2 linked regions of the Oryctolagus cuniculus genome follow. The protein of the gene in region 1 interacts with the protein of each later gene in a biochemical or structural test. Links are inferred from orthologs where the notes say so. Each region holds a gene or a part of one and is shown in the gene's direction. Other genes may lie near its edges. The genes, in order: MAGI3 and ADRB1.

Region 1 (3,807 bases):
ATAGTGTCAAAATCTTTTAATATTCAACAAAAAGCAGTCAGATCTAGAAAACAGTGAGAGTCTACCCTCCTGAAGGCAGCACGCTTCCAACTACAGTCTCTGCAGTGGCATTACCCCCACCTGCAGAGTTAAAACTGGAGCTCAGGGATACTGAATCTCCTGTGAGTGCCGCTGTGGGACCAGCGCTGTGGTCCTCTAGCACAGCCCGTGGGCTCCATCTGGATTTGTTGTTACATGTAGTTTCTTAACAGGCTGTAGCATAATGTAAGCCTTGTGTTGTAATTCCAATATGTTTTTAGTGAGAAAAGAGATTCTTTTTTGCTAGCCCTTCTTCCTACTTTTCTTCTTCTATTTCATTTTTTCTCCTTTCATTTCTCTTCTTTACTCTTTGTTCCCCCACAATTTTAAATTATAAAAAATAGAACCTGAATGTTTATTTTTCTATCTATCAAAAGTTGTTCCTTTTTATTACATCTTCAAATAACACCATTTTAAAATATAGTTTACTCTTAGAGGTGCCTTTTTTTTTTTTAAGATTTATTCATTTATTTGAAAGTCAGAGTTACACAGAGAAGGAGAGGCAGAGACAGATCTTCCCTCCGCTAGTTCACTCCCCAACTGGCCGCAGCTGCACTGATCCGAAGCTAGAAGCCAGGAGCTTCCTCCAGGTCTCCCACATGGGTGCAGGGGCCCAAGGACTTGGGTCATCTTCCATTGCTTTCCCAGGCCACAGCAGAGAGCTGGATAGGAAGTGGAGCAGCCAGGTGTCGAATCGGTGCCCATATGGGATGACGGCCCTGAAGGCGGTGGCTTTACCTGCTACACCACAGCACCGGCCCCAGAGGTGCCTTTTTTTATCTTTTAGTTTTCTGTAGCTTCCCCTCCTCTGAGGGCCTGCCACCAGAAATCTGAAAGCCCTCTTTTCCCACCAATTTAATTTTAAACAAAAATGACACCTGGTGGCAAATCTACTCAATTACAAGTTGTATTTACAGTTTATTATACTAAGAATAAAGTGTACAGATTTGGAGAGTTAAGTCAAATGTGATTGAAATTAATTAGAATTTCAACCATGTTTTATAGGATAAACCTGAAGCATGCCCCAGTTATTACCTTCTTTAATTGACATTTAATTACCTGCAGGATTGTATGTCTAATACTGATTTCTCCTCTGTATCTCTTCTTCACAATTTTTTCACTACTTAAACAAGAGAAATCTATATACTGACTTTTGTTTCATGCATATATTCTCAATAGTAAGGGGTTTTTTTAATTAATTATCTTTAGTGCTTCTCTCCATCCTGTTTTTATTATTGTCTTTAAAAAAATTAACTGAATACCAGACACTGGGTAATTTATAAAGAAAACAAATTTATTTCCCACAGTCTGACAGCTGGGAAGTCCTAGGTTGAGAGGCCACATCTGGTGAGGGCCATCCTGATAACAGGACTGTGCACAGTCCTGAGCCCTGTGGGGCGTCACGTGGCAAGACCAAGCATGGGTGACCCAGGGAGTCTGGTAACAAAGCTACTCCCTCACTATGCCATTCAGCCACTTGTCCATGAATAGATGAATGAGGGCAGAGCCCTCACAATGCAAGCCCCCCCCCAAAAAATTCCCCCTCCAGTAAGTCATATGACTTTGGGGATTAATGCCAACACATACATTCCAGGGACAAACATTCAAATCCTAGCAATATGAAATCCATCTTTTTTCTGATTACATATCCTCCAGTTCTTTAAGAGTAAGACTCATCTTTTTTTATATATAAATATGCAGGACACTTTATGTTCTATTTCACAATTTATTTGAAATTTTTTGCATTGTAAAGAATAGGGTGTAGTCTATAGTTAAATCTTCCTACCAGTGCGCTTTAATATACTTGAAAACTAACATTTGTGCTTGGTGTACAATCCTGTTTCATCTCATTAAATCCTTCCAAGAACCCCAGGAGTCGGTACAGAAACCCTCACTTAGTAACTGAGGAAAACGAGACCACACAGCCAGCAAGCAGAGCCAGGACGTGAGCCTCAGCCACAGCGCTGGGCTGTATGTGGACTGGGTGTAGATACTGACCTTTGAGAAGTAATTATCAGTTCCCCTTCTGCTGTTACTTATGGGTTATTTTAGTAAGCTCCCATAAAGATTTACAATTTTGCTTTTGGAGATTTTACCAATATCGCATGGTTTAGTTCTGTTTTGAAGCCAATAGTCTTCTGTTGGCCTGTCTTCTTGAAATCAATTTAAAATTATTATTATTTTTTTTTTTTTGATAGGCAGAGTGGACAGTGAGAGAGAGAGAGAGAAAGGTCTTCCTTTTGCTGTTGGTTCACCCTCCAATGGCCGCCACGCCTGGCGCACTACAGCCGGCGCACCGCGCTGATCCGAAGGCAGGAGCCAGGTGCTTATCCTGGTTTCCCATGGGGTGCAGGGCCCAAGCACTTGGGCCATCCTCCACTGCACTCCCTGGCCACAGCAGAGAGCTGGCCTGGAAGAGGGGCAACCGGGACAGAATCTGGTGCCCCGACCAGGACTAGAACCCGGTGTGCCGGCGCCGCAAGGTGGAGGATTAGCCTAGTGAGCCGCGGCGCCAGCCTAAAATCATTATTTTTAATCAGGTTCTTTGCAAAAGTTATACTTGACTTTTCCATATTTGTCCTTTTTCTTTTAAAATAACAACAGACATTTCTGCAAACACAAACAGTACTGAAGTACCTTACTCTGATCCCTAGCTTTATGTTGGAAATGATTTTACACTGAAGTCTTTAAATGTAAGGCAGTTACTGGCTTCAAGTAAGTGTTTATATTAATCTCTAAGCTTAATTTTTTAGGCTTTTAATCTATAAATGTCATTTGTCTAATGCCTCATACACGTACAGGACATAATGGCAATACCCAGGCGCGGGCAGTTCTCCCAGGAAGGACTTCAAAGATGAGGCACCACCTGCCCAGGTTTTAAGGAATAAATTCAAGATTCAGCTCAAGTTTGAAAGTCCCCTTCACAGACTGATCATCCACATAGCGACCTGTGGGATCATTTGGATTGGGGTAGAAACTTACCTCCTGTTCCACTGCTTACCTTTTGGTGCCAAGTGTAGAATTTGGTTCTTGGATTGAAGATGCCTATATCCTGACTTAGCAGCCATATAAAACTTATCCATGTGCGATTTGTATCGAGAAAGTAAAACTGGACATTGTCTCTTCCTGTGGTTGTGCACTCCTCAGCCCTAGTGTGATTGTGCTGTGATCACATTAAATATTTAACAAATGAGAGAGTCACTTAGCAAGGTCACATGGCTGTGGAGCTGACAGAAGCAGAAAAGAAGAAGAGTGCAGAGTTTCATGTTGTTCCCGGGAATGTTCCCTGTCTAGGTTGGTGACCAGATTGTTGAAATCAATGGGGAGCCCACACAAGGCATCACACATACTCGAGCAATTGAGCTCATTCAGGCTGGTGGAAATAAAGTTCTTCTTCTCTTGAGGCCAGGAGCTGGCTTGATACCTGACCACGGTAAGTAACGTAGTTCGCTGGTAGCTTCAAAGTTGTATGTTAGGGAAGGGCAGCAGAAGGAAAAGGAATTTCTATTTGGAGGATAGCTTTTTTTTTTTTAACTAGCTAATTCAGAGGTGAACACCAGAACCACCAGAATCTAGTTGGATAACCGTGTACAAGTGAATTCAAGTATTCAATTTGTTGGAATGGAGTCCACTTTAAGTTGATTTCATCAGAAAACACAGATGGCTTTTGCGGAGAAATGTGCCTGTAAAATGGCAGGGCCCAGGAGGCAGCCATGTAGACGTCCTGCA
Region 2 (4,396 bases), on another chromosome or scaffold:
GCTTTACTTGCATCCCTGCGAAGCAGCCCCTGTTAGAATACCCTTTGCTTTCGGTGTCTATAATTCCATGTACGTATTTGTGGTGTCTCTGAATGAGTAGGGGAGAGAGCCAGGAGAGAGGTTTCCGGCCATGCTGATGCCCAGGACGTTCGTGCAAGTAACCACACAGTGAAGTCACCTGCACCCGGCTTCTGCGCCAGCCCCTGCACCCACAGTCAGGCCTTCTCGCCGTGTTGCGCCCTGCGCCCTGGCCCTGTGCGGGCACTTGAGGTTGACACACTCTATTCCAGTAGCAGCACTTGGCAGGAGGATTGCGCCGGGTAGACAGCAGCTTTCCCCACACTCCCTGCACCCCACCCAGCACTCAGAGCCCTTTCCTGGGCAGCATCAATTTCCACTCCACCCAATCCCTTGGCTATTTTAATACCACCCCTTAGCTCCCCCTCTCACCGGGCCAAAGGGAGGACTTGCAAGGAGTGGAGTCACTAAGGGCCCGGTCTCCTTCCTCCCTCTTTCCAGCTCCTCTCTTCCTGACTCCCCCACATCAACCTCCCCAAGTTGGCAAAACTGGGCTGAGTCCAGGGCAGGGGTGAATAAACAAATTAATCACTCCCGGGTTGTAGGAATGCTTCGATGATCATGCTTAGGCCTAAAGCAAATTCATGTGTTTGCATTTCTCTAGTCTCAAGAAGCTGGTGCAAACGGTCTGACGTCTGCACACGTAACAAGCATTCCTTTTTGTTCGCCTCTCTCTGGCAAGGTAGGAGCACGGTTTTGGGCCGTGGTGGATGCTCTTTCTAGATGCTGTTCTTTTTATTCTAACGCCGTAAAGATGTGTGAGCGTTATATAACACGTTCATGATGATCGGGAGCTGTTTACTTCACAAGGATCTAATTAAAGGTTTTTTGTTTATTTTCAGGCCTGAGCTAAGTTCCTTACCAGGGCCAAATTAGAGAAAGGGCTTGCTTCCCTCTGCCCTGTGTGCTCCTGGCCCCACCATTCCCCCTCTCCTCCATATAATCCACCTACAACTAGGTTAACAACCCTCTAACCCTTAAATGAACCCATTTGCCAACTCAGAAACCACTGGTATAACTTTAAATGCTTTGGGGTTTTAATCCCCTTGAGGATTTATGGTTTTTTTCTCTCTCTCTCTCATCCCTTCAAAACTAACCCCAGAGTTGCAAGAATCTGGGAACTTGGGTAAAGGAACAAACCGCCACCCAGACCAAAAAATCCAAAATCCCAGTTCATTGCTTCAACCAAAACTGTCAGTGCCTCAGAGTCTGCAATCCACACTGCCCTGAGTATAAAAACCTGCGTGCAATAACTCACAAAATGCAGGTGTTGTGACTGAATGTGGGAAGCCTAAAGCGTCAGTGGAGGTGGTCTGTCTGCGTGCGCGTTAACATGCGTGTTTCCCTAGCCTCTCCCCTCACGGCGTGGACACACACTGTTGCATCACGCGCAGGGGCTAGGAAGTGTGTGTTTTTCCAGCTCAGCCTCCGCGTTGGCTGCTGGATGCAGCAGCCTTCGCCCCTGCTACATCTCCTGCACCCGAAGTACAACAGACGCTTCCTCGCAAGCGCCGCACCCGCGCAGAGACAGGTGCGCGGTTTGCTCCCGCAACGCGCTGTGCTGCCAAGTTTCCTCTCCCTGCTAACACCCACCTCCGATCTCGCAGGGCTGGCGCGACGCAGGTTGGCCCGGTGCCCCCTTGGCGGAGGAAGGACTCTACACACCCAAGAACCAATCTCCTCCAACCCTGGCGGACAAGACCGCTCGAGGCGCCCAGGAGCCGTGAGGATGTCAACGTTCGCCGCCCCCTAAGGGAGCCGGCGCCCAGTGCTGCGGGGAATCCGGACAACGGAGGTAGAGGGGATGCGGGGGTGGGCAGAGCGGGGCAGCGGGAGGGAGCCGAGCGCGGGAGGGGGCGGGGACGCGGCCGGGAGCCGGGCGCCCTAGGCGGCGCAGGGGAACGGGGCGCTGGAGCGGGCGGGCGCAGGAAAGGGAGCGCTCGGCGGAACCCGCGGGCGCCCGAGAGGCGCTGGCTGGACGCTCTGCCCCGACTCCCCCGAGCCGCTCAATCGCCGGTAGGAGGGGGTGCGGGGAGTCGGGGTAGCAGGGAGTGGGGAGGCAGAGAAGGGGGCGTGCCCTCGCCCCGATTGGCTGCAGGAGCCTGACGCCAGGCCCCGGGGGCCGGCTCGGGAGGTGGGAACGGGGGGTGGGTGCTGGGTGCCGGGGCCGCGGGCCCCGCGCGCTCAGAAACATGCTGAGGTCCCGGCGGCTCTGCCAGCAGCGGCAGCGGCCCCAGCAGCAGCGGCGGCGGCGGCGGCGGCGACAGCGCTCGGCGGCTGCGGGGAGGGCGCCCGGAGCCGATGCCTCGGGCTCCGCGCCGCAGCTGCCCTGACCTGGCCGCGACCTCCGACAGCGCGCCCCGCCGGCACGGCCTCTCGGAGGGCTCCCCAGCCACGGCCCAGCTCCGCCACACCCCCCGCCCCCGGCCTCCGCAGCTCGGGATGAGCGCGGGGGCGCTCGCCCTGGGCGCCTCCGAGCCCTGCAACCTGTCGTCCGCCGCGCCACTGCCCGACGGCGCGGCCACGGCGGCGCGGCTGCTGGTGCCCGCGTCGCCGCCCGCCTCGCTGTTGCCTCCCGCCAGCGAGGGCCCCGCGCTGCTGTCGCAGCAGTGGACGGCTGGCATGGGCCTGCTTATGGCGCTCGTGGTGCTGCTCATCGTGGCGGGCAACGTGCTGGTGATCGTGGCCATAGCGAAGACACCGCGGCTGCAGACGCTCACCAACCTGTTCATCATGTCCCTGGCCAGCGCCGACCTGGTCATGGGGCTGCTGGTGGTGCCCTTCGGGGCCACCATCGTGGTGTGGGGCCGCTGGGAGTATGGCTCCTTCTTCTGCGAGCTCTGGACCTCGGTGGACGTGCTCTGTGTGACGGCCAGCATCGAGACCCTGTGTGTCATTGCCCTAGACCGCTACCTCGCCATCACGTCGCCCTTCCGCTACCAGAGCCTGCTGACGCGCGCGCGGGCGCGGGCCCTCGTGTGCACCGTGTGGGCCATCTCGGCGCTCGTGTCCTTCCTGCCCATCCTCATGCACTGGTGGCGGGCCGAGGGCGACGAGGCGCGCCGCTGCTACAACGACCCCAAGTGCTGCGACTTTGTCACCAACCGGGCGTACGCCATCGCCTCGTCCGTGGTCTCCTTCTACGTGCCGCTGTGCGTCATGGCCTTCGTGTACCTGCGGGTGTTCCGAGAGGCGCAGAAGCAGGTGAAGAAGATCGACAGCTGTGAGCGCCGCTTCCTCAGCGGCCCCGCGCCCGAGCCAGGGCCCCCGCGCCCGGACCCCGGCTCCAGCCCCGGCTCCGGCTCCGCGGCCGCGCTGGCCAACGGGCGCCACAGCAAGCGGCGGCCGTCGCGCCTCGTGGCCCTGCGCGAGCAGAAAGCGCTCAAGACGCTGGGCATCATCATGGGCGTGTTCACGCTCTGCTGGCTACCGTTCTTCCTGGCCAACGTGGTGAAGGCCTTCCACCGCGACCTGGTGCCCGACCGCCTCTTCGTCTTCTTCAACTGGCTCGGCTACGCCAACTCGGCCTTCAACCCCATCATCTACTGCCGCAGCCCCGACTTCCGCAAGGCCTTCCAGCGCCTGCTCTGCTGCGCGCGCCGGGCCGCCCGCGGGTGCCATGCGAACCCCCACGCCCGGCCGCGCGCCTCGGGCTGCCTCGCGCGCGCCGGACCGCCACCGTCGCCCGGGGCAGCCTCGGACGAGGAGGACGACGACGTCGGGGCCACGCCACCCGCGCGCCTGTTGGATCCCTGGGCAGGCTGCAATGGTGGGGCGGCGGCGGCGGCGGCGGCGGCGACGGCGGACAGCGACTCGAGCCTGGACGAGCCGTGCCGCCCGGGCTTCAACTCCGAGTCCAAGGTGTAGGGCCCGGCGCGCCCCCCGCGTCCGGGACGCGCGCCCTGCGCCCGGGGAGGAGGAGCAGGAGAGCTCGCCGGGGAACCGCGGGGTGCGGGTGGAGGGGAGAGGAGATGGGTGTTTACCAACGGCGGGTGACCGCATTGTCCAGGGCAGACAGAAAGGCCGTGGGGCCTTTGCCCAGGAAGGAATGTTTGGGGAACGGGTGGGAGAGTGGCTTGCCCAGTTTTCTGCGTGCGTTTTCTGTCTGTGGTTGGGCCTCGGGTGCGTGCGTGTGATGCCTCTGGGGAATTTTTCTTTCTTTCTTTCTTTCCAGGTGGTTTTTGACACTTTCTGCGACGGGGACTGGAGTGCAGGTGGGGTGGGTCGAGGGAGGGGAAGGAAGAAGCAGCAAGAGATGAAAATACCCGCTTGGCTTCTATCCCGCTGCTGGGAACTCGCGCAGTCAACCAGAGAGGGA

The links.
Region 2: the proteins of MAGI3 (region 1) and ADRB1 interact in a test that uses a peptide from one of them, tested with the Homo sapiens proteins (2 studies listed by IntAct, with this or other methods). The link is inferred for Oryctolagus cuniculus from reciprocal best matches to the Homo sapiens genes MAGI3 and ADRB1.

What each region holds. Positions count from the first base shown.
Region 1 is NC_091438.1:56,685,762-56,689,568, reverse strand, and holds part of MAGI3 (membrane-associated guanylate kinase, WW and PDZ domain-containing protein 3), read left to right. Parts: intron 1-3,079; exon of another isoform or gene 3,080-3,372; coding exon 3,373-3,511; intron 3,512-3,807.
Region 2 is NC_091446.1:16,246,352-16,250,747, reverse strand, and holds the start of ADRB1 (beta-1 adrenergic receptor), read left to right. Parts: upstream 1-1,346; 5' UTR 1,347-1,609; intron 1,610-1,685; 5' UTR 1,686-1,873; intron 1,874-2,297; 5' UTR 2,298-2,379; coding exon 2,380-3,945; 3' UTR 3,946-4,396. UniProt on the Homo sapiens protein: Beta-adrenergic receptors mediate the catecholamine-induced activation of adenylate cyclase through the action of G proteins. This receptor binds epinephrine and norepinephrine with approximately equal affinity.